Linked DNA regions of Stegostoma tigrinum. The protein of the gene in region 4 interacts with the protein of the main gene of each other region in a pairwise test. Links are inferred from orthologs where the notes say so. Each region holds a gene or a part of one and is shown on either strand. Other genes may lie near its edges. The genes, in order: si:ch73-264p11.1, ngly1, tshz3b and trim54.

The links.
Region 1: the proteins of trim54 (region 4) and si:ch73-264p11.1 interact in binary tests that used the Homo sapiens proteins (3 or more experiments, as listed by UniProt). The two-hybrid records come from large-scale screens. The link is inferred for Stegostoma tigrinum from reciprocal best matches to the Homo sapiens genes TRIM54 and SH2D1B.
Region 2: the proteins of trim54 (region 4) and ngly1 interact in binary tests that used the Homo sapiens proteins (3 or more experiments, as listed by UniProt). The two-hybrid records come from large-scale screens. The link is inferred for Stegostoma tigrinum from reciprocal best matches to the Homo sapiens genes TRIM54 and NGLY1.
Region 3: the proteins of trim54 (region 4) and tshz3b interact in binary tests that used the Homo sapiens proteins (3 or more experiments, as listed by UniProt). The two-hybrid records come from large-scale screens. The link is inferred for Stegostoma tigrinum from reciprocal best matches to the Homo sapiens genes TRIM54 and TSHZ3.

Annotation. Positions count from the first base shown.
Region 1 is NC_081365.1:32,323,421-32,331,300, reverse strand, and holds the start of si:ch73-264p11.1 (SH2 domain-containing protein 1B), read left to right. Parts: upstream 1-4,814; 5' UTR 4,815-4,920; intron 4,921-7,880. UniProt on the Homo sapiens protein: Cytoplasmic adapter regulating receptors of the signaling lymphocytic activation molecule (SLAM) family such as CD84, SLAMF1, LY9 and CD244. In SLAM signaling seems to cooperate with SH2D1A/SAP.
Region 2 is NC_081355.1:63,430,052-63,437,871, reverse strand, and holds the start of ngly1 (peptide-N(4)-(N-acetyl-beta-glucosaminyl)asparagine amidase), read right to left. Parts: upstream 3,295-7,820; 5' UTR 3,059-3,294; coding exon 2,955-3,058; intron 1-2,954. Other genes in the region: oxsm (3-oxoacyl-[acyl-carrier-protein] synthase, mitochondrial), read left to right, coding at 7,730-7,820. UniProt on the Homo sapiens protein: Specifically deglycosylates the denatured form of N-linked glycoproteins in the cytoplasm and assists their proteasome-mediated degradation. Cleaves the beta-aspartyl-glucosamine (GlcNAc) of the glycan and the amide side chain of Asn, converting Asn to Asp.
Region 3 is NC_081369.1:34,018,907-34,027,211, forward strand, and holds the start of tshz3b (teashirt homolog 3b), read right to left. Parts: upstream 3,362-8,305; 5' UTR 3,267-3,361; coding exon 3,236-3,266; intron 2,896-3,235; coding exon 2,802-2,895; intron 1-2,801. UniProt on the Homo sapiens protein: Transcriptional regulator involved in developmental processes. Functions in association with APBB1, SET and HDAC factors as a transcriptional repressor, that inhibits the expression of CASP4.
Region 4 is NC_081357.1:80,447,604-80,455,199, reverse strand, and holds the start of trim54 (tripartite motif-containing protein 54), read right to left. Parts: upstream 3,199-7,596; 5' UTR 3,093-3,198; coding exon 2,925-3,092; intron 2,432-2,924; coding exon 2,259-2,431; intron 1-2,258. UniProt on the Homo sapiens protein: May bind and stabilize microtubules during myotubes formation.

The DNA.
Region 1 (7,880 bases), on a different chromosome or scaffold from region 4:
TGCATCACCTCACACTTGTCTGCATTAAACTCCATTTGCCACCTCTCAACCCAGGTCTGCAGCTTATCTATGTCTCTCTGCAACCTACAGCATCCTTCTTCACTATCCACAACTCCACCGACCTTAATGTCGTCTGCAAATTTACTAACCCATCCTTCTACGCCCTCATCCAGGTCATTTATAAAAATGACAAACAGCAGTGGACCCAACACCGACCCTTGCGGTACACCACTAGTAACTGCTCTCCAGGATGAACATTTCCCATCAACTACTACCCTCTGTCTACTTTCAGCAAGCCAATTTCCGATCCAAACTGCTATATCTCCCACAATTCCATTCCTCCGCATTTTGTACAATAGCCTACTGTGGGGAACCTTATTGAATGCCATGCTGAAATCCATATACACCACATCAACCGGTTTACTCTCATCTACCTGTTTGGCCACCTTCTCAAAGAACTCAATAAGGTTTGAGAGGCACGACCTTCCCTTCACAAAACCGTGTTTACTATCCCTAATCAATTTATTCTTTTCTAGATGATTATAAATCCTATCCCTTATAACCTTTTCCAACACTATACCAACATCTGAGGTAAGGCTCACTGGTCTATAATTACCAGGGTTGTCTCTACTCCCCTTCTTCAACAGGGGAACCACATTTGCTATCCTCCAGTCATCTGGCACTATTCCTGTAGACAATGACGAGTTAAAGATCAATGCCAAAGGCTCGGCAATCTCCTCCCTGGCTTCCCAGAGGATCCTAGGATAAATCCCATCCGGCCCAGGGGACTTATCTATCTTCACCCTCCGAAGGATTTCTAATACCTCTTCCTTGTGAACCTCAATCCCACCTAGTCTAGTAGCCTGTATCTCAGTATTCTCCTCGAAAACATTGTCGTTTTCTAGAGTGAATACTGTTGAAAAATATTCATTTAGCGCTTCCCCTATCTCCTCTGACTCCACACACAACTTACCACTACTATCCTTGACTGGCCCTAATCTTACTTTCATCATTCTTTTATTCCTTAAATACCTGTAGAAAGCCTTAGGGTTTACCCTGATCCTATCCGCCAACAGCTTCTCATGTCTCCTCCTGGCTCTTCTGAGCTCTCTCTTTAGGTCTTTCCTGGCTACCTCGTAGCCCTCAAGTGCTTTAACTGAGCCTTCACATCTCATCCTAACATAAGCCTTCTTCTTCTTCTTGACCAGAGATTCCACCTCCTTTGTAAACCACAGCTCCCGCACTCTACAGCTTCCTCCCTGCCTGACAGGTACATACTTATCTAGGACACACAGGAGCTTTTCCTTGAATAAGCTCCACATTTCTAATGTGCCCATCCCCTGCAGTTTCTTTCCCCATCCTATGCTCCCTAAATCTTGCCTAATCTCATCATAATTGCCTTTCCCCCAGCTATAACTCTTGCCCAGTGGTATACACCTATCCCTTTCCATCACTAAAGTAAACATAACAGAATTGTGATTGCTATCACCAAAGTGCTCACCTACTTCCAAATCTAACACCTGGCCAGGCTCATTACCCAGTACCAAATCTAATGTGGCTTCGCCCCTTGTTGGCCTATCTACATACCGTGTCAGGAAGCCCTCCTGCACACACTGGACAAAAACTGACCCATCTATAGTACTCGAACTATAGTGTTCCCAGTCAATATTTGGAAAGTTGAAGTCCCCCATGACAACTACCCTGTCTCTCTCACTCCTATGGAGAATCATCTTTGCTATCCTTTCCTCTACATCTCTGGAACTATTCGGAGGCCAATAGAAAACTCCCAACAGGGTGACCTCTCCTTTCCAAAGAGAGAGGTCATATTGAACATAGGCCCTTAGAAAGTGAACCTGAAGAGATGGTTTTTGGGAAAAAGGAAATGGCAGAGGAGTCAAATAAATATTTTGCATCAGTCGTTACAGTGGAAGATATTTTGAACATTCCATTAATACCGATGAATACAGAGGGAGGAATTAAATACTTTCACCATCATAAGAGAGGTATGATCAGACAACCTTATGGGATGCATGTACCATAACATTATTACAGGTAATATTAGACAAACTAACAAAGCTAAAGGCAGATAGGTCCCCTGGCTTGTATCCTAGGATCATAAACGGGGTAGCTATAGAGATAGTAGATGCATTATTTGTAATTTTCCAAGAATCCTTAAAATCTGGCAAAGTATTAGAAGATTAGAAAACTTGTCAATGTAAGACCTCTATTCCTAAAGGGAGGTAGGCAAAAAGCAGGTAACTCTAGCCTTATATCTATTGTTGGAATATATCAGAATCAATTATTAAGGAAATAATACCAGAACCGTGAGAAAATTATAATCTAATCAAACAGAGTCAGCATGGTTTTGCGAAAAGGAAGGTGTGTCTGACTAATTTTTATTCAAGACTGTCCTAACAGAGTGGGTAGAGGGGAGATACTGTATTTGAACTTCCAGAACCTGTTTTGACAAGGAACCTCACAAGACATTCAATCATTTGATAAGGGCCTATGGTGTTGGAAGTAGTATATTAGCATGGATAAATAATTGGTGAATGGCAGGAAATAGTGGGTGTAGATAAAGGGTTCTTTTTCAGATTGGCGACCTTTGTCCAGTGGGATTCTATAGAGTTCAGAAAAAGAGAATGCACTGTAGTAAATTTAGAGACAACACAAAAATAGTTGGAAAGGCAGCTTGTGAGAGAGGTATACATTGTTTACAGAGAGGTGTTGATATGATATGTAAGCGGGAAAAAATGTTGGCAAATGGAATTGAATATAAAAAAAAGAGAAGTTATTCATTTTGGGAAAAAAACAAAAGAATAGAATGTTATTTGAATCGAGAAAACTGCAGAAACCTGTAATACAAAGGGACTTAGAGGTACTGGTGCATGAAACACAGAAAGATAGCACATGGGTTCACCAGGTAATCAAAGAGGTTCATGGAATGTTAGCCTCTATTTCATGGTGTTTAAGTTATAAAACTAGAAAGTCTTACTGCAACTGTACAAGGTGTTGGTGAGACCACATCTGGCGTACTATGAACAGTTTTGGTCCCTTTTTTTAAGAAAAAATACTATTTCATTGGAGGCAGTTCAGAGAATATTCACTAGGATAATCCCTGGTATGGAGGGATTGATTTGTGAGCAAAAGTTAACCAAGTTGGGATTCTACTCATTGGAATTTAGAAGAATGAGAGGTGATCTTGTTTAAACATTCTGGATTTTTAATAGGTATTGCGGGATAAATGTTGAGAGGATGTTTCCCCACGTAAGACAGTTTAGAACTAGAAATGAGATAGTAGGAATTGCCGATGCTGGAGAATCTGAGAAAACAACTTGTAGAGCTGGATGAACACGCAGGCCAAACCGCATCAGAGGAGAAGGAAGGCTGGCGTTTCGGGTCTGGACCTTTCATCAGAAATGGGGGAACAGAAGGGGATTCTGCAATAAACAGAGAGGGGGAGGTGGATGGAAGGTGGATAGAGGAGCAGATAGGTGGAGAGGAGACGGACAGGTCAAGGACGCAGGGACTAGAGAAATAGTCTCAGAATTAAGTAGCACCAATTTAAGACTGAGATGGGGAAGAATTTCTTGACACTTTGGAACATGCCACAGAGAACTGTGGGAACTGAGTCCTTGTTCGTATTTAAATTTGAGATAGATAGATTATTGATCAGTCAGAGAATCAGGGCAAAGGGCAGGAAGGTGGAGGTGTAGAGTGTCAGATCAGTCATGATCCTATTAAATGGCAGAACAGGATCAAGGGGCCAAATGGCCTACCCCTGTTTCTGTTTCTCATGGCCTCAGTTAGTAAGGAGGATTTTGCAGGGCTGTTTTATTTTCAATACCACAGTCATGTGTCAGGCAACCTATTTTATTTCATTCCTTTCTTTAAACTTTGTAGTGCTTGACACAACTGAGTGCTTGCTGATTTCAGAGAGCAGTTTAAGAGTCCACCACATTGCTGTGGATATAGAGTCACATATAGGCCAGACCAGATCAGTATGGCAATTTCCATTGCTGAATGGAAATTAGTGAAGTAAGTAGGCTTTTCCAACAATTGACATTGGTCCATGGTGATCATTGGTCTTTTAATTCTAGTTTACCATTGAATTCAAGTTCCCATGTGGTACCTGGGTCTATGGATTATTACTTCCGTGACAATACCATCAGGCCAAAACATTCCCTTAAACTGAAATGAAACAGCAATGTCGGAATCGTCAGTTCATCTCTTTTAATGTAACAGACAGAACATTGGAGACAACTCCCTCCTTCTTCTTTGAAATAGCGTCACTGTATTCTATATGTCTACTGGAGGGCAGATGGGTCCTACACCAGCACTTCATCTGAAGCCATCCTGATCATGCAGCATTGCAGACAATGTCAGCTTAGGTTTTGAGGTCAATAGTATAAAATGGTACTGTGACTTACAATCCTCTTTGTCAGAGATCAGGGTGAAACCAAATGAGCAATGGCTGACACTTAGAGGAAACTCTAGCCACACGAAACTTTTAAAATTTGAGGGTGTGAAATTAACTGGACGTGTCTTCAGTAATTGACAAACATTGTCCTGCTGAAACCATATATTTTGTTAGACTGTCAATTTCATATGTTATGCTAAGTTTACTATCTTCCATGCAGTTTAGAGTTACTGCATAAAATATAGGTAGATTGGAAACTTTTACCTTTATGCTATTAAAAGCTGACGTAATGGATCCTGTGGTTTTCAAGTCAGCAATATGGTGAAGCATTGCATCACTAATGCATTTTTTTAAATTCACGTCTGACCAACAGCATTTCATTAAAGCGTTTTCCACAGAAATGATCTATATTGCATGAAAGGAACATAATTGCTGATTTCTCTACCAACTTGTATCGATATTGCCAAACAAAAGTAACATTACATTCCACAGAAGATAAGGTAAGATTGCAAAATGACAAAGATATATAATTAAGCTTAGTAAAGTTATGAAACAGGAGCAAAAGCCGTAAACTAGGCTGCATGTCATTTCTGCATACATGTTCGAACTAAAGCATTCAAATTATTCATAATGGCTATTATATTTCACACTTTGTGCTATTTCAGCTGGTACAGAAACAGTCTGGCTAGATTTTTGATGTTGAATTTATCATGTAGTTAGATATACTTGCACACTACAGTACTGATATGATGAAAATTTCCTAATAAGGCAAAAGTTTTGAACAGGCAACGTGTAAAAGTTTAGTGAATTCTTCATTCACTTGTAATCTTGATGTAACAATATTTCTTGCAATGTGTTGATATGCTTACAATATTAATATTGTCAGTTGCTCATTTGTAACAGCAGTAAACACTGTATTGTTAACACTGAGAGTAATGAAACAAATGGCTGATGGTGTCAAGCAAGTTGACCTAATTACTTACCGTCAGTAGAGAGAATGACCGATTTGGATGGGATGCACAGTGCAGTAACATAGTGTGTTACGGGATTAGTAGTCCAGAAGCCTGGGGTAATGTTCCAGGAGTATGAGAACAAATCCCTCTTGGCAGTTAATTCAATTAATATATGTTCCTTCTGCTGCCGGTATAATGTGGTTACAGTATGCACCATTTTAAAATGCATGGCAGCCTCTCACCAAACCTTCTTTGGTGGCAGTCTCCAAACATTGAACCTTGACTATTGAGAAGTACAAGAGTACAGTTGTATGAGAATACCATGACTTGCAAGTTCCTCTCCAAACAACACATATCCTGACTTGAAAATATATCATAATCCCTAATTGTTGCTGGGTCAAGCTTCTGGATCTCCTATTTCAATGGCCTCTCAATTTTTACTTCCACATATAGAGATTTGTGTATTTACATCTGCAATATTACTGCTCCTCCTTTAAAACTGTACCATTTAGTTAAAATTGCCTCCTCCTTATTCCTAGCAAAACATACCACTTCTCAGTTACTGGCAGTAAAATTTGTCACGTCTCAGCTCAAATTGACAGTCTATGTCTTCCTAAAACCTGCTATCATCTTCGCTGTTTACTACATTTCTCAGTTTACTCTTACACCCAATTTTGAAATTAAGTCCTGTGCTTCGGGGTCCAGATCATTGGTACGGGTCAAGAAATGCAAAAGTCCTAATAATCCCACTGAGGGGACATCATTGTGTACTTCCCTACATTACAAAATTACAGCTACTCATCCTACCACTTGATCACCGCTACACCCTGCTTTTTGTCACTTATCACATTTTGTAGCCATGTTGCCAATATTCCATCAAACACAGAGGATTTAATTTTTCTAAAAATTCTTTCATATAGCATTTTGTCAAATGTGATCTATGAATCCACGTACACATCACCTGCATTGCTTTCGTAAACAATCTCCTTACCGTTCCTGTTGGAAGATGTCTGGAACCAATGGATACAATCTCAGAGAAAGGGGCAGTCCATTTAAGAGTGATACAGAGAGGATTTTCTTCACTCAGAAGATGGTGAATCTCTGGAATTCTCTACCTCACAGACCTGTGGAGATTCAATCGCTGAATAGGTTTAAAACAGAGATTGACAGATTTCTAGGTAGTAAAGATATTACGGGATATGAAAATCCTGTCGAAAATGCTGTTGAGGTCGAAAATCAACATTGAATCAAAGAGTTGGCTTTATAGGCCAAATGATCCACTGCTATACCTATTTCTAATGTCCTTATATTCCTCTGCAGCTGCTTCAAAGAACTCAAATTGATCAAATTTGATTTGCTGCAAATAAATCCATGCTGATTTAACTCATGCTAATCGCCAATTAATTTGTCTCAATTATAATCTCCCAAATAGTTTTGCTGACTGATCTGTAGTTTTTTGGTTTATCTCTCTCCATTTTAAATAAAACGGAGCATGATAATTGTAATATCTGTTAAGGGTTGGAAGATTGTTGCCAGAGGCAAGCAATTTGACATTGTTATTTCTCTCCCTAATGCAAGATGCATTCCATTCAGACATTGGATTTTTTATGTTCTGATTGACTATTGATGAAGTGCATCATCTTTATTCTGTTTTTATCCTATCAGACGTTAATAGTGCTTAGTCTGTTACGGCTATATTAGCAGCATTCCATTCTTCATAAGTCTTTAAGACATAGAAGCAGAAATATATCCTTCGGCCCATTGAGCCAGTTTAAATATTCAATCAGCATCACTTTCCTGCCTTATTCCCAAAACCCTCGCTTCTCCACTCTTTAAAAACCTGTCTGCTCCAGCCTTGAATATAATTAAATACCCAACCTCTACAGGCCTCAGTGGTAAAGAATTCCACAGATTCACTACTCTCTGAGAGAAGAAATTCTTTGTCATCTATATAGATAGATTGGAGAGTTGGGCAGATAAATGGCAGATGGAGTTCAATCCGGGCAAATGTGAGGTGATGCATATTGGAAGATCTAATTCAAGAGTGAACTATACAGTAAATGGAAAAGTCCTAGGGAAAATTGATGTACAGAGAGATCTGGGTATTCAGGTCCATTGTTCCCTGAAGGTGGCAACGCAGGACAATAGAGTAGTCAAGAAGGCATATGACATGCTTTCCTTCATCGGACGGGGTACTGAATACAAGCGTTGACAGGTCATGTTACAGTTGTATAAGACTTTGGTTCGGCCACATTTAGAGTGCTGTGTACAGTTCTGGTCGCCACATTACCAAAAGGATGTGGATGCTTTGGAGAATGTGCAGAGGAGGTTCACCAGGATGTTGCCTGGTATGGAGGGCGCTAGCTTTGAAGAAAGGTTGAGTAGATTAGGATTATTTTCATTAGAAAGACGGAGGTTGGGGGGGAACCTGATTGAGGTCTACAAAATCATGAGGGGTAGAGACAAGGTGGATAGCAAGAAGCTTTTTCCCAGAGTGGGGGACTCAA
Region 2 (7,820 bases), on a different chromosome or scaffold from region 4:
AAAGTTTGAACAAACGTCAGCTAGGAGATTAAACTTTTAAAAAAGGCAACATGGTGGCTCAGTGGTTAGCTGAGAGGTCACTGTTGCTTCACAGTGCCAGGGACCCAGGTTCGATTCCACCTTTGGGTGACTATGTGGAGTTTGCATGTTCTCCCCCGTCTGTGGGTTTCTGCCAGGTGCTCCAGTTTCCTCCCACAGTCCAAAGACATGCAAGTTAGGTGGATTGGTCATGCTAAATTGCCCATAGTGTTCAGTGGCATAGGTGGGTTAGCCATGGAAAGTGCAGGATTATAGGGATGGGATGGGTCTAGCTGAGATGTTCTTCAGAGACTGTGTGACCCCGTTGAGCCAAATTGCCTGTTTCCCCATGTAAGGATTCTATGGAAATTTATGGATATTGCCAGTATAAGAGGGGGGGAAAAAAGGGCAAAATATATGAAAATGTTAGCAATTAACAAATTAAATCCAAAAATACTAGATCAACATATTGCCACGATCCCGGCTGATAGCTATACTGGATATGTCAGATCTAAATACGAAATTTGGCTTGAAAGATCAAAAAGTTTATTTTTACAGTAGCTTACCACTGCAGTCAGGCATTGAACATATTCACGTAAAGCTGTTATGGTTCTTTTACTACAAGAACTCACGTTTATTAAACTAAAAAAGCTATCCAACAATTTAGAAAAATTTTAATATCAACAGCAAAACAAAGTTTCAAACTTTCCCAGCTATTATTTACAGATGCTCATAGTTTAGTATTACTCCCATCTTAACTAATTTCTTAATTACTGTCTCCAGTTCCGATGGCCTCAGGGCTTCCCTCCAGATTCAACAGCTTGAAACTGTTACTCAAACTCTGGCAGCTTGGAGACTTCATAAAATAAAAATCATTCTGCTGAGATGAAACTGAAATCTGATACTCCTGAACTGAACTCAAACCTAAGCACCAGTGATTCCTGGTCATTTATTTTTCTGCATGTCATAAACTTAGCAACGTAAACACCTCATTAAGTAACACCACCGGTATCTGGCTTGGCACTTACTAAGCCACATGCTTCCTTAGAAATTCTATTTAGGTCATTTCTGCCACTAACTCTGACCTCTCCAAAACAAAACTGAAACGCAATTCCATTTGCCTCTATTTTTGAAATTCAAATTCCCAAATGATAAAAGTGCAAAATAAATATTTTCACAATATGAAGCAATATAAAGATTGAGATTGGTTAAGGATGAAACAGAAATTAGACATTCTGAAAAGGGATAACATTAAAGTTGCAGCGAGGAGGCAGTCAAGATGCTGGATTAGAAAAGGAAAAATAGAAATGTGATGCCAAGTTAGGTAGACAGCAGATGCTCTGATCACAATCTTCAATTCTTCTTTGGACATTGAAGTACTGGCAATAGGTTTACATGTTATGGCATTGTCGCCTCTTGGTTCAAAAACATTTGGGGAAGGACTGCATCTGTGGTACAAAAGCTAATTGAGACAAATTCCCACTTTTTCAAGACAAAATCAGAGCTAACTAATCTAGATTGAGTTACTTGATGATCTAAAAGAAGATTGAAGAAGCTGGTGCAATTGATGTGTAATATGAACTTTCAAAAGATATTTGATAAAGAATAACCTAATAGACTTAAACATAACTACATGATATGAAAAGGGGACAATGGTAATATGGTAATGAAATTGGCTGGGAGATAGCAGGCAACGGCCAAGTTACTTTTGACTGAAGATAGCATTCAACAGGGTTCCCACCCACTCATCCACTTAAGGGTCAGTATTAGGATTACTGTATTTTTGCAGTTTGCATTAATAGCCTAGACCTACCTATAACATACAATTTTGATGTTTGCAATTGATATATACATGGCAACACAATGTGCAGTAAACAGAAGAGCCACACTTTAGCAAGACATTGATGAAATGAGCACACACAACTTACTATCAGTAGAATGCAGTTTAGCATAAATGATCTGGAGAGGCAGTATGATGTAAATTATACCATTCTAAAGGGTGCAGAGAAGTGGGATCTGCACGTTCACACACAGTGGCAGGGAAGGTTAATGATGTAAATAAGAAAGCATGAACACTTGGCTTAATGAATAGTGACAACAAAATAAGGACGTTACATTCAACCTTTACAAGTCTACAATTAGACCGCATCTGCAGCACTGCAAATTATTCCGGGGAAAACCAAACACCTTAGGAAGAACGTCACAATCCTGGAAAGACTAAAGAAGAATTTCCACATTGGGGTTTTGGACACCACGCAAGAATGCGAGGCAAGATATCGGGGTCTCCAAGCAATTCTGGCTGTGGCCAGTAGGAGGTTTAGACCGATTCCTGACAGATGAGAGATTTCTTAAAACCCTCTGGGTGTTCTCCCAGTGGGCACGGCCTGACAGAGTGCTTTCTGAGATAATGGGAACTGCAGATGCTGGAGAATCCAAGGCAATAAAATGTGAGGCTGGATGAACACAGCAGGCCCAGCAGCATCTCAGGAGCACAAAAGCTGACATTTCGGGCCTGGACTCTCTGATGAAGGGTCCAGGCCCGAAACGTCAGCTTTTGTGCTCCTGAGATGCTGCTGGGCCTGCTGTGTTCATCCAGCCTCACATTTTATTGCCTCAGAGTGCTTTCTGAGTTCTGATTACTGCTGCAAAAGAATCAGCCTCTGATACTATAACAGTGTGTCGAAGCCCAGCCAAACTTCCCACGTACACCCCTCTCGCCCAGAACACAACAATCGAAACCTTTCCTTCAACCTATGAGAAAGGTGGTAACTCGGGGAGTGAATCGACCCATCGAAACAACACATTGGGATAGGGAGAAAATAACGTATGTTAACCTTGAATCCAACTTCACTCTCTGAGGGCGACCTGAACGGAGCCGGCGGCTGAGCGCTACCATTTTCAACACCCTCCCCCGCAAACCGGGACCTAGCCCTTACCTCAGGATGTTGTCGGCATATTTCAGCAGCAGCTCTGAAGCGTCCAGGAAGATGTGCTCGGGATTCTGGCTCAGCTCGCTCACAGCCACCGACACCGACACCATGGTGGACAGGCTATGGACTGCAGCCCACAGGAGAGGGCGCTTTAACTCCCCTTCCTCGACGAACAGCTGCTCCTGTGTATTCAGACGGCAGACAATCTCCAATTTAAAAAGAAAACCGGAATACCGACAACCGCTCGGCTGTCTGAGGAAAGAAACTGAAATAACCTCCGTTCAGGAAGTGATGACGCTGCATTAGCGCCGCTCTTGCCCCTTTCGGGTTGATGCTCTTTGGTTTTGGGCGGACAACCTCCTGCTCCGCCCACGTCGTGACGTCGTGGCACGGCCATGGCTGAGTTGCGCCTGCGCCTCAGGGAGTTGGTGAGTGAGCGTAGACGAATCTGAAAAGTTGCTTCTGTCTCTTTGTTCACGAGTCCTTCTCTAAAAATATTTCCCGTGTTTTCTTACATTTTATTTTGTGTTTACTTATGTTTCGTCCAAAGGACGGCTCCTCCTCAGTCTTGTTTATTTTAGAAACTGAAAGTAGTAGTGCTGATCCATCTTTCGGGGAATTGAAGGGTCTAGGCCCGAAACGTCTGCTCTTGTGCTCCTGAGATGCTGCTTGGCCTGCTGTGTTCATCCAGCTCCACACTTTGTTATCTGAGGGCCCAAGTACTTCTGTTTCCAAGTTTCTTATATTGTTAAAAAAAATCACGATCCTAACTAGTTTTGACGACAAGTCACAGAACGCTTTTTTCTCTCCACACGGAAAACTGCTGACATGCTGAGCCTTTCCAATACTTGGAACTAACCTTTTGCTGGTCTTCCAAAAAATACTTAAGACTTCTTGTGATCTTCTCGTTCCCCTTCAATAAGGATCCCGGCAACACCTACCTGAGATAGTAGGAACTGCAGATGCTGGAGAATCAGTAGACCTGGATGAACACAGCAGGCCAAGCAGCGTCAGAGGAGCCGGAAAGCTGACGTTTCGGGTCGAGACCCTTCTGAGATCTGTTTTGGGTATATAAAATAACTTGCTAAGCAAAATAATAAATTGATTAAAAATGAGTAATTCATAAAATAATCATTTAAAAGCTATCTAGAAGTTTAATAAGATTTTTGCTCTACCTTTTCATTTAACTCCAGAAATAGAGCTAGAGAGAGATAGGCAAGGCTCCAAATCTTGATCAATGAAGAACGGAAGCAGACAGAGGACTTTAGGACTTGTTCTGGATCCAATTCATCCATTCTGACCAGATATCCTAAATTAATCTTGACCCATTTGCCTGCATTTGGCCCATATCTCTCTAAACCTTCCTCCTCATGTACCCATCCAAATGCCTTTTAAATGGTGTAATTGTAGCTGCCTCCAAAATTTCTTCTGACAGCTCATTCCATGCACACGTCATCCTCAGCATGAAAAACTTGCCCCTTAATCCCTTTTAAATCTTTTCCTCACTCACCTTCAACCTATGCCCTTTCTAATGTTGAGTTAGCCTTGGGGGGGTGTACATTCCAAACTGACCTTGGTGGAATTCATGTGAAAATGAGGTTTGGAAGTGGCTTGTCTTTCATCCTGTCCTGGCTTGTTGTGTAAATAGATGTTTGTTGAATGAGGAGGGGCGTGTGTGTGTGCATGTGTCCGCAATGAGCAGCCTCTGTCTTGAGTGTGTACGCTCACTGTCACTCGAACTTCGGTGGAGTGGGGGCACAAAGTGTGACACTGATCTGACAGGGCACACAGAACAAACATGTGGGTTGGGGGGACATGTGAAGTATCACACTGAACTATCTGGGGCAAAGAGTCTCATAAACTGTGGTGACTGCAGGGAAAAGCACCCCCCTGGGTGTACTTTTAGCCATGTATTCAAACGTATGCTTCCAGTACATGGAAAAGTTTAAGGCTGGGACATCTGAACAATTTAAGGAAACTGTCAGGACACACACCAACATCTGGTCACCCTATTTGAGAGGCTCATGATGGTGATATCTCATGCGTAATGTCTTCTCCCCACTCCTAGGCCAGTACGCCCTTGGGGATTGGTGTCCAATATTCTTGGCCTTCAGCAATGGCCACCTTATTGTGTAGTCAAATTGATTTGAGCATGTTTAAGAATGTTTTACATTTTGGTTACAAATTGATAGCGTAGGTAACAATTCCTTCATTGTAATTTTGCATACAAGAAGCTCATTTGAAAGGTGAAATAACAGATCACTTTCTCAATGTAAGCCTGGAGCTACAAAATAGACAACTTGCTGCAAGGACAAGTTTTAATGAATAAATTCAAATATTCGTTACATTTTATTTAACTGAATTAGGGTCAACTCTAAATAGCTATTCTGTGTAATATCTAAACCTATAATGTATTAAAAAGTGTTTTATTTATGTATATTTCCTATCTTGATAAAACTATCGTCATTATGGATTACTATATTTTTTTATTAGTGAGAGTTATCTTTGTAAATGCATCATATTTAAATTATACCTCTCAACCAGTAGTGGGATCGTGGTACGATCACTGCAGCAAAGACTCTGCTTTTGAGATTTGTCGTAACAATCATGAATAATATAAACTCGTTTCCACACCGTAGGGAATCTAATCTAATCTAAAGACATAGTGTTTGACTTTAAAATGAGAACTGGGTTATGTCTATGCCCCAGTCAAATTTCCCAATGATTACATCTGTACTTATCTAAAATATGATTTTGAAATACAGTCACTTATTTGTGCATTTACATGATTCATTTAAACTTTGAATTGCCCAATGCTGACAGCCTTCTAGAACCGAGGATCGGTGATAGACGAGAATGCCTTAGTCAATAGTACTGAACAATGTGAAAAATCCAGGAATGACCCATTTCCTCCACAGTCACATCAATTTAAGGCCATTTATGATATTGGTCATTATGCTGTTGTTAACTTTAGCCACACTGCAGGAATTCACATTTGAGCTAATGGCATGTTTAACAACGTTAAACATTTAAAAAATGGGAAAGTGTTGATAGTATCTGAACATTGAATGACATTTGCAAACAGGAGGGGGCAGTTGAAGATGGAAGAATTAGGATGTCGATTTCATGAAAAAAACTAAACATAAAAGGCAGAGAGGAGATGAAAGAAAAACCACCATAATAAGGATTTGAAATGAGGTGAGGAGTAATTGGCACAGTGATGTTTGAAACCCATATGCTGCTTGCATTTGATTGAAAAGAGTGCAGATGAGCAGTGGAATAAAGAGATGATTTTTGTTGGACAAAGAAAGGCTGAGGGTTGTCATGCCTTCCAAGATGGTCTTATAGTATTTTTTTTTCCTTATTCTTTCATGGAATGTGGGTGTCACTTGCAAGGCCAGTATTTATTGTCTATCCCTCATTGCCCTTGAAATGAGTGGCTTACTTGATTATTTCACAAGGCAATTAAGAGTCACCCACATTGCTGTAGTTCTGGAGTCACATGTAAGCCAAAGCAGGTGAAGATGGAAGATTTCCTTACCCTTATGGCATTAGAGAACCAGATAGGTTTTCATGCCAATAGGTAGTTTCATCATCATCTTCGCTGAGATCACCTTTCAATTCTAGATGTTTATTAGTTTCATTCAAGTTCCCCCAGTTGTTATGGTGAAATTTATACATGACAATTGGTTTGTGTGTCTGGATCAGAAATCTGTAGATTGTGAAGAAGGGTCCAGAGCCAAAACGTCAGCTTTTCTACTCCTCTGATGCTGCCTGCCCTGCTGTGTTCTTCCAGCTCTATACCTTGTTATCTCACAACACAACGCCATGATCTGTTATGCAATATGATCCTGTTAGGACAAGATACTGAATACAGATTAGGGTGTGTTCCTCATATTATCAAAGTTAAATTGAAAGGTAAGTTAATCAGCAGTCTGTTCCCCATGTCCCACCCCCATTAAAAACTTGTTTTGAGGCAGTGTTGAGGGAGTAGAGAAACAGAGTTTGAGTGCTCCCTAATTTTTGACAGGAATGGTGATGTGTGCATTTTTTGGGGGGAAAAAAGAGTTGCATGAAAAATAAACACAACAGAATAAGTGCACAAAAATCAGAAGCAATATAACTTTCCAGAGTGTCTTTATTTCAATGTTATATTTAGTTGAACTTGATCTCTTATGAACTGTTCAATCACAGTTGAAAATGGAATAAATTTTAGGGGAGGCAATGGCCTAGTTGTATTATCACTGGACTGTTAATCAAGAGACCTGGATAATGTTCTGGGGACCTGGGTTCAAATCCCACCCTGGTAGATGGTGGAATTTGAATTCAATAAAAATATCTGGAATTAAGAATCTAATGATGACCATGAATCTATTGCCGATTGTCAGGAAAACGTATCTGCTTCACTAATGTTCTTTAGGGAAGGAAACTGCCATCCTTACCTGGTCTGCCCTACATGTGACTCCAGACCCACAGTAATGTATTTGACTTTGAGCTACCCTCTGGGCAATTAGGGATGGACAATAAATGCTGTCTAGCAAGCAACATCCTCACCCCATTAATGAATAAAGAAATTATCACAGTTTGTAATTAAACATTATTATCCTAAGCATGCATTCTGTCTTCAAGAAAACTTACATTGCAAAGATTTGAAATTTGGTTTTTCACAACTATTTGCTTACTACTTGCAGATTTTTTAATGATTTTCCTGTGCATCTTTACTGTTCACAGTAAAACCAAGTGCATTTTCTTGCCAACGTTGTGGATAAAAGCTAAAAGATATGTTGCTGCAAAGGAAGAAGCTGCTAACAAAGGTTTTCTGGTATCAACTGTTGAATCTCAAGAATACAAGATCAGAATTGAATGCACGTT
Region 3 (8,305 bases), on a different chromosome or scaffold from region 4:
GGCAGCATCCTGGTAAACCTCCTTTGCACTCTCTCCAAAGCCTCCACATCTTTCCTATAATAGGGCAACCAGAACTGGACACAATATTCCGGAGTGTGGTCCCACCAGGATTTTGTAGAGCTGCAGCATAACCTCGCGGCTCTTAAACTCGATCCCCCTGTTAATGAAAGCCAAAACACCACATGCTTTCTTAACAATCTTATCCACCTGGGTGGCAACTTTGAGGGAGCTATGCACTTGAACACCAAGATCCCGCTGTTCCTCCACACTGCCGAGAATCCTGCCTTTAATCCTATATTCAGCATTTAAGTTCGACCTTCCAAAGTACATCACTTCGCATTTATCCAGGTTGAACTCCATCTGCCATTTCTCAGCCCAGCTCTGCATACTGTCAATGTCTTGCTGAAGCCTGCAATAGCCCTCGATACTATCAATGGCACGTCCAACCTTTGTGTCATCAGCAAACATACTAACTCGCCCCTCAACCTCCTCATCCAAGTCATTTATAAAAACTACAGAGAGCAAAAGCCCAAGAACAGAGCCCTGTGGGACACCACTCAGCACTGACCTCCAGGCAGAATCTTACCATCTACAACCACTCTCTGCCTCCTGTCAGCCAACCAATTCTGAATCCAGACAGCCAAATCACCCTGTATCCCATTCCTCCTGACTTTATGAATGAGCCTGCCATGGGAAACCTTATCAAATGCCTTGCTGAAGTCCATGTACACCAGATCCACTGCTCGACCCTCGTCAATCTGTCTCATGACTTCCTCAAAGAACTCAATAAGATTTGTAAGGCATGACCTGCCCCTCACAAAGCCATGCTGACTCCCTTTAATCACGCTATGCTTTTCCAAATAGTCATAAATCCTATCCCTCAGAATTCTTTCCAAAACCTTGCTGACCGCAGACGTAAGACTGACTGGTCTGTAATTTCCAGGGATTTCCCTATTCCCTTTCTTGAAAAGAGGAACAACATTTGCCTCCCTCCAATCTTCCGGTACAACTCCCGTGGAGAGTGAGGAAGCAAAGATCTTCACCAGCGGCTTAGCAAGCAACCTCCTTTCTCGCTTCCCGGAGCAACCTAGGATAAATCTGGTCTTGCCCTGGGGACTTATCAATCTTAATGTTTGCCAAAATTTCCAGCACGTCAACTTCCTCAATCTTGATCTGTTCAAGCCTGTTTTCCTGCTCCTCAAAGTTCTCATTCACAACAAGGTCCCTCTCCTTAGTAAAAACCTAAGCAAAACACTCATTTAGGGCTTCCCCTATCTGCTCAGACTCCACACACAAGTTTGCTACGCTATCCCTGATCGGCCCTACCTACTCCCTCATCATTCTCTTATTCCTCACGTATGAGTAAAATGCCTTCGGGTTCTCCCTAATCCTTCCTGCCAAGTCTTTTTCGTGCCCCCTCCTGGCCCTCCTCAGTCCACTTTTGAGCTCCTTCCAAGCAAGCCTGTAATCCTCTAAAGCTGTGCTAGACCCTTGCTTCCTCCACCTTACGTACGCTGCCTTTTTCTTTTTGACAAGAAGCACCTCTGTACCCGTCATCCAAGGCTCCTTAATATTACCCCTTCTTACCTGTCTCAGAAGAACAAATTTAGACATCACTCGCAACAACTGCTCCTTAAACAGCTTCCACACGTCTGCTCTGTCCTTTCTGTGGAACAATTGTTCCCAATCTGTACTTCCCAACTCCTGTCTGTTAGCGTCATAGTTTCCTTTACCCCTGTTAAATATCTTCCCCGGTAACTGCTCCTTTGACAGGAATCAGAATCAATACAAATAAACTTGAATTAACAGGCACATGTTACTTCAAATAAATATAATAATTTGCCCTTAAATAGTCAATATAGCAAAGATATATTTTAAAGAATCACAAGTACTGCAACATTCCCCACAGGCATGTGGCGCCACGTGCTGTTCCAAGGTTCTCTCATTTGACTCTGGTAGTAAAAACCTCTATTTTCCCACCCAATAAATTTGGCTCTCAAGACACATTCACCAACATCCGTATTGTCCCTGGAGACATTCATTACCCAAACAACACAATCCTGCAGAACCTTCTACGTTAGGCTTGAGAGTATTGATGACACAAATTCCCCAGAGATCACTTTGTCCAAATCTTTCTATACACCCCTTTTTATAATCAGCTTTGCTAAAACTGAAGCAGCGGCATTAAAATTGTCAAATTCTCAATCTTTGCATTAACCCTGTTTTCAGGTTTCTGTTCTGTTTAAATGTATTACACAAACACAACTCATTGTAAATATGAATTCAATTTTCTTCGCTCCACTGTAGCTCTCTTTTGTATCTGACACATAGCTTCCATCTTAATGTCCTAACGTTTTCTTCTGCCTTCTGGTCAAGGGTTGCCAAGCCAATTGAAACAGTCCTCTTGTTATTCAAGAAATTTATTGTTTCTCCCTTTACAATTGATGCAAATTATTAAAAATTATTTTTCAGAAAGTCTTTAAGAGATCATTGACAGATTCTATCAACATTTAATGAAATTATAAATTTTTCTCAACTGCTTCAGGTCAAGGCTCCTCAAATTCCTAAAATTATGCATTGAAAATATAAAGTTTTCCCATATTTCTAATAATACCAGAGGAAGACAATGCACTTGCTTATCTCTGTTTCCAAAGCTCGTCTTTCCTAGAACAGAAGTTCTAGCCTGAGGGATGACGTGCTACATCATACATTGCTGACCAAGAGACTCCACTATTTATACAATCTGTCATGTGTATATCAGAAGTATGGACAGGTTAGTAATCAAACTGTTATTAATGTACCTTCTTTGACGATCATGATTCATCATTCCCAAAATGATTCCCAGAAGATTCTGGCTCAGAGGCAAGGAAACCACCCTCTCCACCACAAGACCTCCTGCATTGAAAAACAGGTGGTAAATTACAAGGGCAAAAGAAAATTCAAAAGAAGTAAAGCTATGTTTGGTGGAGATTGTCCAGCAGCTCCAGACATTGGGTTCTACACCCCAGTGAGGGGCCTAAGTCTCAGAGTTAAGCAACTTAGCATGCCCGACAGTGTGGTGTGGCTGCAGGATAGGCATGCAATGGGTGTTAGATTCCAGTGAGTCTAATGGGTAATGTCGGTAATTTTCACTCCACTACCTTTTCGAGCCCGAGGCCCAGGTTCAAGGCCTACTTGCTCCAGACATAGAAAAGACCTATTTCACCTTCTTCATCCCTAATAGACTCCAGCTCACCTCTTACTGCCAGCAGGCTGAGTATTTCCATGCGTCAGAAGAATTTTGGATTCCTTTTTATGCTGTCATTCTCTTCTCATTTTCCGTCTTTTCCAGTCTTATCATCCTCTTCATTTTCCCTCTCTGTTTTGTGGGCTGAATTTAAAGCAGCCAGGCCTGGTGGAAAACATGGAACTGGATCCACTCAATTCTGGGAGAGGCTCACATCAGTCTCCGAGCAATGTGAAATACAAAGCCATAGTAGAAACACAGTCCCTCATGGCAGGTTGTCAATTGACTTCATTATTGAACCCATTGGGATCTGACTTTAGTGGTAACTTAGGGGCTACATGTCAATGGCATAGCTTTCCCAAACTTCCAGAAGGCTGTTTATCTGCTGCCTACTATGGGGTGGTCCCTCTTTCAAAAGCACTTAGTAACTGATTGAGTGACCTGGTATCAAATGCCTCCCGGTCCTTCCCTTCCACCTCCCCCATATACCCACTCTGCTAAAACTGTCACTGCAACCCCCACTCTAACTTCACTCACCTCTGACCTGGTTATTTCAGTGATCCTTGTTCTTTCTGGTGGTGATGCTTGAAGTCCTGAATCCCAGTGAAGGCCCTGAAAACTGTTGAATTGACTCAGCTCACTTCTTGAGAAGTGACATTCCTTTTCCACCAGTTCTCCAGCTAATTGACTGGGCCCATATGAATGACATAAAATGCTGTCTATTGTATTTGGCTTGGTGCTGGCTTGAAAAATTCATCTGATGTGTATCAAACACCCCAAGCTGGATTTTGGTGACCCGATAATTCTTTGAATCGAAAGTGCAGCCTGAAAAGTTAGTGATGAGGTTATGTGAGAGACAGTAGGAACTGCCGATGCTAGAGCCTGAGATAACAAGATGTAGAGCTGGATGAACACAGCAGGCCAGGCATTATCAGAGGAGCAGGAAAGCTGATGCTTTGGGTCTGGACTCTTCTTCAGAAATGGGGGAGGGGAAGGGGGCTCAAAATAAATAGAGAGAGGAGGAGGTGATGATAGAAGGTGAATGGAGGAGCAGATTGGTGGAGAGAAGACGGACAGGTCAAGAAGGCAGGGATGACACCAGTAAAGATGAGTGTAGGTAGGGAGTTGGGATAGGAGTTGGTCAGTGAGGAGAGAGAGGTGAGTAGGTGGGAGGGAAGATGGACAGGTCAAGAAGGCGGTGATGACATGGGCTGGTCTTGGGATGCAGTAGGTGGAGGGGAGATTTTGAAGCTTGTGAACTCCACATTGACACCATGTGGATTGGGCTGCAGAGTTCCCAAGCGGAGTATGAGGTGCTGTTCCTCCAGCCTTCGGGTGGCATCGTTGTAGCACTGGAGGAAGCCCAGGATGGACTTGTCAGTCAAGGAGTGGGAGAAGGAGTTGAAGTGCTTCACGGCTGGGACATGTTGTTGTTTGTCACAAACTGAGCGTAGGTGCTCCACAAAGCCTCTGCTTGGTTTCCTGATGTAGAGGAGGCCACATCAGGAACAGCAGATACAGTATACTGCATTAGCAGATGTGCAGGTGAACATCTGCTTGATGTGGAAGGTTTTCTTGGGGCTTGGGACAAGAGTGAGGGGGGAGGTGTGGGGGCAGGTGTAGTACCTCCTGTGGTTGCAGGGAGAAGTGCCAGGTGTTACGTACCTGGATATCTTACCTTGGTTTTTGGCTTATGCTATTTCCCAGAGGGGATGGGTGGAAAGTGGACATCTGAACTCTACCATGCTCCTGAACTGCCAAATGAAGTAGTTAGGGTATTGTTTAAAACCCAACCTCACAACTTTTCTTGGTTTTCCCAGTGACAAGCTGTTCCATATAAAGTGTGGTCACTGGCCCCTCAAGCAGCATACAAAGGTATTTACAGTATTGGTAAAGATAACATGAGCATGACCAGTCAGCCTGTATACAAAAGCGCAACTACATTTTTCCAAATAGTCTGCTTCTCGTAGATTCGACAAAAAACATTGCACGTACAGGTTAGGTTAGTCTCCCAATATAAGTACTCATTCAGCTGCTATGCACCCAGATGGTCATTGTCATTTCAAAGCTGCCTTGCTCAGTATAGGAGGTTTGCGGAAGATGTTAGAGAAAGGGAAGATGACATCATGATTCTCCAACAATGACCTGGAGGTTCTAAACAAGTGGGTGGTGCAAAAGAGAGGAGTTCTCTTCCAAGAGGACTGGCAAAGGACACCATGCCACCTGATCCTGGCATCCTGGTCTGTAGTCACCATTGAGATCAAAGCCATCTCCATGATGCAGAGGAATAGCCAGTAATTCCGCAAGGAGGTCAATTATCTTCTCCTCTTCACCAGAGCAAGTGCCCCACTCTTCTCTTTGCAACCTAATACTCAGTCTATCTCTGCTACTGCATCCGCCTCGCACCATAGCTCATGATCTGCCATTTTCACTCTGGCATGCAACCTCTTCTGCTACCCGCTCACACTACCTCCATCCTCCCTCAGCACCAACCCTCCATGCCCTCTGTACTACTCACTCCCTCAGAACTCCTCAACGCCCTTCACCCACCAGGACTTGCAGCCATGCCATCTCACTCAATTTCTCACTTTACAGGAGAAGACAGCCCATACATGGCAGAAGGAGCCAATATGGGGTGGAGGAGTCCTGATGTTAAGCTCCTCACCCCATCTGAGGAGAGAATCCTGGCCATTGCAGGAAAAGACATGGATTGCTCCTGCAGAGATGTCAAAGTATTCATGGCCCAACAATCTGTTAAGCACCATTCTTCCTTCCACTGTAACTCTCACATTAATGTTGTCATTGTTGTTCATTGCATCCTACCTCTGGCCACTCACCACAATGCCTGTGTGATCAGGCACTGTCTCCTGCTTGCAACTGGGATCATACTGACTGTGAACGAGCCCTTTCCCCCTTCCCTATGACCCCTTCACATCATGTTTTAATTATATCCCTCCTTTCACTTACTGTCGGCCCTTTACAGTTGTTATTCGTGCCTCACCCTCCAAAAGAATAACTTGCCAAGTCTCCTTCCTGCAACCTCTTTTTCCACGCTTCGCCCCCTTTTACTCTTAGTTACTCTGATCAGACCCAATGGACTGACAGTGGCTTATCTGCATGTGTGATGCAACCAGATTGAGAAGTGCCCAGACCCGTGGCTGCTAAATGTATATCTGCCTAATCCCATTAGCCCTGCTCCCTCTAGAAATGGCCAACATGGAGCCACTGTAACTGACTGTCTCCCACTCCCCAAACTGCAGAGGCACGGACACCTACATAAACCAAGCAGATGCTTGACCAATCCCCTGGATTGGTACTTAAGGCTGCCCAGAACTTATTGTGGTGGGTCCGCTTGACTGGTGGGTGTCTCCATGGGCTTCAGTGAAGAGTAGTCCCTTAAGGTTTTGAGACCTGACTGCCTGCTTGCAGCCAATGCAAGGTGTTCACTATGTGAGCTGTGATACATGCAGTGTGTGTGCTGTGTGAGCTGTGATACATGAGTATGCTATGTGAGCTGCAGTATGTGCAGTGTTTTTGCTGTGAGCTGTGGTACATGCAGTATGTATGCTGTGTGAGCTGCAGCACGTGCAGTGTTTTATGCTGTGTGAGCTGTTGTACTTGCAGTGTTTTTGCTGTGTGAGCTGCTGTACATGCAGTGTATTTGCTGTGTGAGCTGCTACACATGCTGTGTGTTTGCAGCATGTGTGTTTGCTGTGTGAGCTGCTGTACATGCAGTGTATTTGCTGTGTGAGCTGCTACACATGCTGTGTGTTTGCAGTGTGATCTGTGATACATGCAGTGTGTTTTCAGTGTGAGCTGCTGTACATGGTGCAGGTGTGAAATTGATATAGCACATTGTCAGAAAGTAAACTTTCTGCCTCTTGACTGAGGTCTGCTGATCAGGAAAGTTAAGTGCCTGGTTGTCTGATGGCAGTACTTGGGATCCCAATGCACAGCAAGGATGCTGTGAGCCTGCCAGTCAGCGTGAAGTGAGCAATCTGTGAGAGAGTAGGCAAGCAGCCCTGAGATGCAGCATGGTCCAATCCTTCAACTGGGTACCTGCCCCTTTGCACAAAGCCATTAAAGAGTAATCTAGATGATGTGGATGCTTTGGAGAGGGTTCAGAGGAGGTTTACCAGGATGCTGCCTGGACTGGAGGGCTTATCTTATGAAGAGAGGTTGACTGAGCTCGGTCTCTTTTCATTGGAGAAAAGGAGGAGGAGAGGGGACCTAATTGAGGTATACAAGATAATGAGAGGCATAGATAGAGTTGATAGCCAGAGACTATTTCCCAAGGCAGAAATGGCTAGCACGAGGGGTCATAGTTTTAAGCTGGTTGGTGGAAAGTATAGAGGGGATGTCAGAGGCGGGTTCTTTACACAGAGAGTTGTGAGAGCATGGAATGCGTTGCCAGCAGCAGTTGTGGAAGCAAGGTCATTGGGGTCATTTAAGAGACTGCTGGACGTGTATATGGTCACAGAAATTTGAGGGTGCATACATGAGGATCAATGGTCGGCACAACATTGTGGGCTGAAGGGCCTGTTCTGTGCTGTACTGTTCTATGTTCTATGTTCTATGTTCTATTCCTTCAACAGTTGTCCAGTCAATGATTGTAGAAATCTGTATTGAATTTGTTCAATGCCTTTATGATTCATTTGGTGATTTTTTTTACTGCTGTCTCAGCCTTTTCATTTGGCTGGGAATAGTGTGGGGTCGGTGTATGGTGTTGAAATACTCAACCCTCTATGAAATGGCTAAATTCTTCACTCAGTAGTTGAGGGCCACTGTCTCTCATCACAATGTCTGGAATGCCATAATGATTGAAGTGCACATTCAGACATTCGACAACAACACTGGGTGTCATTGATATCAGTTGGTCTAACTCCCAGTTGTCAGAGAAGTAGTGGATAGTGACAAGATTATTCAGCTCATGACTGAAGAGGTTTACTGCAACCTTCATCCATTGTCAGTCACGTGCCATAAGTGGCTCTTTAGTTCACTTAGCTTGATATTTGTTGTAAGCATTGAACTGACTGATGTCGCCCTTAATCACATTGCTCATATTTGGCATGTTAAGTA
Region 4 (7,596 bases):
TACTCAGCTTTCAAATTCGACCTTCCAAAATGCATCACCTCGCATTTATCCAGGTTGAACTCCATCTGCCACCTCTCAGCCCATCTCTGCATCCTGTCAATGTCCCGCTGCAGCCTACAACAGCCCTCTACACTGTCAACGACACCTCCGACCTTGGTGTCGTCTGCAAACTTGCTGACCCATCCTTCAATCCCCTCGTCCAAGTCATGAGTTGTTTGTTGTTCTGTTCTTCCTTGGTGATCCTCTTGATCTCAGTGAATAGGTTATTAATAAGCTGATGTGTTTCTTCTAACTTTGCTCATTTAATGATAAAGAAAGTATCGTTGATGCAGTTAACCAATAATTTAGGCTGGATCTGGGGGAGGATCTGCATGTTCAAGTCTTTGCATAACTGCTTCCATTATAAGACCCAAGATGGGTGAACACACCTATGCAAAAATGGCGGTGCCATAAACAACATAAACATCTTGAAATAGACCCCAGCTTAATACCACGATGGAGCAAAACTGGAAACAGAACCACCCGCCATAACAGACCAGACCATATAAATTTAAAATGGAACAGAACGTTAGCACTTCAGCGGAGGCTAGACAGCACTGAAAATGTCACCCAGAATGGGAATGAAACATTTGTACAAAAACCAGTCAGCTCGGCAAACCAACCAACAACTCTGATCTACACAATAGATCAAAAGCATTGATAGCACCAATGTTAATGTTTTAGTAAACAAAATGATGAGCTTATAAAATAATCCTGAACTTGTAGCCACTTGCACAATGTAAATTACTATACAAGTGTATTGTCACTTTAACTAAAAGTTATTAAACGTTGTGTAAATCGTAAACTTTAGTCAATAAAACAGTCGCACATTAATCAAAAATTTAGATGAATATAGTAGAGGGATCATATCAAGATAAAATATGTGACTAATAACTATCTCGGAGAGTTATCATTGGGTCAAGTATGGTAAATGATAAGCATCTGGTTCAGTGAATCATAGCTTTAAACTATCTTGCTGAAATAAACTATCTTGCTATTATTGTCAGTATTGTTCATGGACCCTAAATGTATATAAATTGGTTGACATGTTTTCTCCAATTACAACAGTGACTGCACAACATTAACTGCGATACAATTTGCATGTCCTTGTCTGAAGGGCAAAGTTTAAATTCTCTTAACAGTCAACAATTAGACTATTTACCCATTATTGTTATTTGGAAAAGACAATAACCCAACTGAGATAGACTAATTGAATGAGACCAGAAGATTCTGAACAGAAATGTAAAATAACTTTATCATTGAGAATTTGATTTTATATTTAAAATAGTTTACATTAGTGATTTGTTTGAATGAGTCTGACTATGCAATTGGAAGTCATAAAAGTGATTTCATTTGAATTATGCTCTGTCATACAAACTGAAAGTCTTGCAGATGTGTTGGCATCAAACAACCTCATTTGAGGATTTCACAAATAGCATTTCTATCTAAAATAGATGAGTGGTGTTAGAGTTTCCTCTTTTTATCCATCAATCGCAGGTCTCCAATCTTAAGTAGGCTTTGATTTAGTGCTTCAAAGAAAAGGCATTGGAACTAGAATTCTTTGTTACTGAAAGCAGAAACCACAACATCAATTAAAGGAAAACTGAAAATTAAAGTTGGAACATATAGGCCTATTAAGGCAATAGGAGTAGTTTTGAATTGTCCTAATAAAAAGACAGCATGGGCATTATCCATACAGGTTCCTCCTTTGTTGCAAACCTCTTAAAGAATCCTTGAAAAAAGACAAAGATCATAAACCGGCCCATGTGAATTTTGTACCCAAAAACCCAAACAAGTGGAATACAAGGATTTGCATCTTTTCATCCTGCAGTTTCAGGTTTTTCAGACCCTGTTCCCTGTAGTACGACTTACCTCATCATTCCTCTTCCTTTAACCTTGTTACTTTCTTAATTTGAAAATTGTGAGCATTTCCTACATAGTACTATTTGAATTCCCATTGTGGAACATTCTACTGTATTCCCAAAGGATTTGATATTGTTTGTTCTTACTTACTAATTCCTGAGCGTGGCTGATAGAAAATATACTTCTTTTTCACCTCAGCCAAAAGAGCAATATAGAAGTAAATGATTATGAGAAAGTGGTAAAGACCACTTTATTTGAATAAAATAATAAAAATGTTCTTCTATGTTTACAGATCATTGACTAAACACACTCATTCTCGGTTCAGCTTTCTCTATAAATAAAGCACATTGCGTAACCTGGATGATTCTTGCTTGTAGATATCAATGATATTTTCCACCAAGAGATTTCTCTGCAGGCCATAAACTCCATGGCGATCCAGTACTACCTCATGTCGGCAGGAAGGACAGCGAAAGCGACCCCCTGAAGGCACTGTTGTGGAGCCTCTCGACTGCCAGAATGGATTGGAAGCCTGTGAATTATGTACCAAATAAAAGTGTCAAACAGCCCTAAAAGAGTATTCAGCTACGCCACGCGTTACTCACATTCCTTTGCCTCTTGTCAGTCTTCCGCTTTTTGTAGATATTCTTCTTTGTTTTTTTTTGCTTCAACAGAACCATGCAGCTGAACGCCAGTGTTATCACCCACAGCTCAGGCAAAGAGAAAGATGTTTTATCATTAAAAAAAGAGATGAGCTGGACTTGATCATAATTTCTGCCGCCACTGTATTTGTGATCTGACATACTCTTCTTTCTCATTTCTCCTCCCCTACATCCCTTCACATGTAAATCTGCACTCCAAGCAATCTGATGTGTAAAAAACAGGCCTAAACATTAAAACTATTTTATCAAGAGCATGCTTCTAAAGAATAGTTTTCATGGACTTAAAATGTTAATACTATTAATAGTGCATTAAGGTTAATAACTATGCCACGGTAAAATGCCACTAAGTTCTGAAACACCTACCTGGAAAACGTCATTGGCACATTTTCTACACAAGTTGTGTTGACATGGTAAAATCACAACTGGCTTTGTGAACATTTCCAGACAAATAGGACAAATAAGTTGTTTCTCCAAACTGTCCATTGTCTGTGCGCCTCCAAGCATTGGTTTGAATCCTACTGCAAGGTTCATCCCCAAAATCAAGAGGTTCACTCAATCTGTTAAATAGAATTTTCCTTTTCCCTCTCTTCAAGGCACTGTTTTTCCCAACCTGTGCTCTCCGCTGAAACATCAACTGTTAGGCAGCCAGCTAAATTTAGAATCATTTCACAGAGGATCGTATTGCTTTTCTTTTAGCCAACAAATCACATGGACTAACAGTTGTGGGCTCTGCATTCCTCACTCCATATTTATCTCCTGAAATGTGAGACTGAGATTTTGAACAGCCATTTGTTGGGCAGCTCTTTCCCTTGTCAAATGATGTTTAGTCATGTAGTAAACTACTGATTATATAAATTACTAAAACAAAACTGAATGCAACTCAAAAGTTTCTGAAATCAACTCCCTGAACAAAGTTTCAAATTGAAAACCTTAAATTAAATCCAATGCAACCTGTTATCCTGTGTACAGCACTTTTTATGCTCAGCAATATATTCCTGTTGAATATATATATTTTTGCTTTACTTTGCAACTTAATCTGATTTCATGAATAATCGATGCACAAAACAAGTGAAGTGTTTTCAGATTAGTTAATTAGGAAATACAATCCTCAGCCTAATGCAATTGAAATCTCCAATTAACACAAATGATAAGATCACAATTAAGTTGGATATAAATATAAAATGAGAAAAAATGTTATACCTACCAAAGCAATGTGCCACCATCTTTCACGAGAATGTAGTTAACTACTCCTTTTTCATGACAGACTGCTATGCCAAAACAAAGGAATGGTTGTCCCTAGCAAATGTTGAGAAGTATTTAGCTGAAAGTAGCATCTAAGGAGGAATGACATGCTGGTCTTCTCAATATTAAGCTGCTCTGTGGATTTATGTTAGAATCTCAATTATTTCTAAAAAATATAAATAAGCTATTTCTTTGTTATGGTCTGTCTCCTTAGGCAATGTCACCTCTTATGGCACCATCTTAGGTACAAATATCTCAGCATAAATCTTAGATACAAAAAAGGAATACAAAAAGAGTAGCTGCATTACTTTACAGTGTTCAATGAGTAAGTCGAAATAAGACCTGGTTAAAGGATTGACAATACAGTCACATGAACAATGAATAAACATGACATTGCAGAATCTCAGTGCAGAGACTTTCACATGTCCAACAACTATACCAATTCCGCTCCAAGCTCCAAACAATCCATTGTCTGTGCACCTCCATGCGTCGGTTTGCATCCCACTGCAAGGTTCATCCCCAAAAGCATACTCTCTCTAAATTTCTTGTCATGGATGTCTCATCCTTCACTTAGCATCTTTATTCTTCATTGGGATAGAACTCTTTTTTCATGATTTCTAGACATGACAAAAGCAGCAAACACAACACATAAATAGACCTTGAAAATAATTAATTCTACATGAAGGGTGTAAATGATGTTTAGATCATCAACTACTAAATTAGTCATAAAAGCAGAATATGGTGAAAATACTCAAAATGTCTGGCAGCATCTGTGGACAGCAACAGAGCTAAAGCTTCAGATGGCTGACCTCAAAATTAATTCTAAAACTTAGATATAGATCTTTGGGGCTTTTTTATTGTTGCCACAGTTGTGGTCAGCATGTGGTATGAAATCAACTGAAGAATTGGTCAAGGATGTATAAATGAAGTGGATTTCACTCATATTGGATTCATAAACAAAAAATCTTGAAAATCATAATTAAAGCTTGAATAATGAGAATTTATATAAAATAAATGGAGTGGGAGTGGAGAAAACAATCAACAATTGGAAAATATCAATATAATTCTAAAAAACACAAAGTGGATATCCACACAAGTTCCATAAGTCTCTTCATGCATATTTTGAGAAAATTGTATTGAATTGAACAAATTAACTAGCTAAAGACAAAACAACTCAATTTCTTTATTCTTTCAAGGGGTTCTCTCAAGCAAATTCTTTGCTCAACCTAAATTGCTTTAATAATGTACATTAAATCTTAAATTTTAGTAACTAAGTGCTGTTTAAATCAGAGGCACACTGCTATGGGGGCGGCATGGTGGCTCAGTGGTTAGCACGGCAGTCTCACAGCACCAGGGACCCGGGTTCGATTCCAGCCTCGGGTAACTGTCTGTGTGGAGTTTGCACATTCTTCCCGTGTCTGCGTGGGTTACCTCCGGGTGCTCCGGTTTCCTCCCACAGTCCAAAGATGTGCAGGCTAGGTTCATCGGCCACGCTAAATTGCCCATAGTGTTCGGGGGTGTCTGGGTGGAATGCTCCAAGAGGCAGTGTGGACTTGTTGGGCCGAAGGGCCTGTTTCCACACTGTAGATAGGGAATCTAATCTAATCTATCACAGGCCTTCACTCTCATGACTGTTTAAAGCTGGGTGATGAGGAGGTGAGCAGGCCTTAAGGTACTAGCTGAGTCTACTTGTGTTACCTATCACTACTTGGACCTTTTATCAGAAGGGTTAGGTGGACGCTAAGAAGCAGTGCAAGGAATGGTCAAATGTCACTAAAGAGTGGTGACTGCTGAGAGGTTGCAAGCTCACTGAAGGCGTGAGTTTTACCTAAACCAGAATGAACTCAGTTAAGATCAGGGTGAGTGCCATTCTGCCAAAGAGAAAGGCATTAGTTGAAGGCCAAGTAACAATCACACAACTCACATTAATTCAGCAAATAAATCTGAAATTGGAAGCTAGATTCGGTAATGGTAATGATAAAACTATCATTGATTATTCTGACAACCTATATGGCACACTCCTGCCCTTTGTGAAATGAACATACTGTCCATACGGGTGATTCCAGGTGTACTAGCAGGTGACAGCTCTGCCATGATACTGTTTGTTGCTGCACTTCTAATCAGTTTTGTGCCACCAATGTGTTTATACCTGAAGTATAATCTCCCTACCTTGTATTTGATTTCCCCTTGCAATAAATGATTTTATTATATCAGCTTTCCTTGTTACTTGCTGTACCTATTACTAACCTTTTTGTGATTCATGCACTAGGATATCCAATCCCGCTGCATCGCAAACCGCTGTAATCTCTAATCATTTAGATAATCTTTCTTTTTAAAATTCACTTATTTTTCTAATCAACCTGTTTAGAAATCTTCTTAAACACTTCTGGAGCAAGTGGGACTTGAATTTGGGCCTTCCAGTCCAGGAGTAGGGACCCTACCACTGCATTACAAGAAGAGCTACCAACAATAACAAATTTTACAATTTCTCACACCATACTGCATTTGCCATTCTCCTTATTTTTCCATCACAATTTACTTTCCTACCAATCTTTGTGCCATCAGCAAATTTAGCAACTATACCTCCCATTGCATCATCTAAACCATTTATGTAAATTGTGAAAAGCTATGGTCCCAAAACCCGTTGTTACAACTTGCTAACCCGAAGTGAATCTATTGAGTCTACTTTTTGTACCTGCTAACTATTCAAACTTCTACCCATTATAACATGCTACCCCGCACGCAGAACTTTTATTTTCTACAATAACCTTTGATGTGGCACCTTATCAAAGGTCTTCTGGAAGTCTAAGCACAGCACATTCACCAGCTCCACTTTATCCATAATGTGCTATTTCCTTAAAGATCAGCAATAAATTTGTCGAAGATGATTTCCTTTTCACAAAACTATATTGACTCTGCCCAATAACCCAAAACTAGTCCGAATGTATGACTGTTTCTAATATTTTCCTTATGACAGATATTAAAATTGTTGGCCTCTAGTTCCATCAGGTACTTGTCAGCTCACAATTCCAACAATTTACTCAACCCTACTTCCCTCTTGATTATTATTTTCTTCAGTTCTTCCCTCTCTTGATTCTTGATTCACAGCTATTTCTAGGATTGAATGTATATCCTCCATGGTGAAGACTGATTTGAGTTCAATTCTTCTTTCATTTCTAATTTCTATCTAAATCACTTTTACATTCCGTGTTCCTACACTTAGGTCTTCCTTCTCTTTTATGTTGGTAACATCGTGAAATAAGAGTCATTCCTCCAATTCTTCCAAGCCTCCTGCCCCTTCTATAATGCCATATAATCTTCAATATTCAGGTGTCAATCTATGTCATCCTGCAGCCATGATCCATGATAATGCTATTGAATATCATGGGGAGATAGTCAGATTCTCTTAGTAGTTGCGATTTTCAATAATTCTGTAGATTCAGCTTGGAAATTAGTGAAGTAACTAATTTATTCAAAAAGTGGGGTAGTCAGAAGTGAGGAAACTACAGGCCGGTTAGCTTAATATCTGTCATAGGGACGATGTTAGAGGTTAATATAAACAATGCTATGTCAGGGCATTTAGAGTACTTCAAGGAAATCAAGCAGAATCAACATAGCTTTTTGAGCAGGCTAAGCAATCCAACAACCAATGGATTAAACCTAAGTTCTGTCATCCAACTTCACTAAGTCATAAATGGTGGTGAATAAGTAAACAACTAGCAGGAGGAAGAGACTGCAAATATCAGTGTCCTCAATGATGACTGAACCTAGCGTATCACTGCTAAAGAAATGG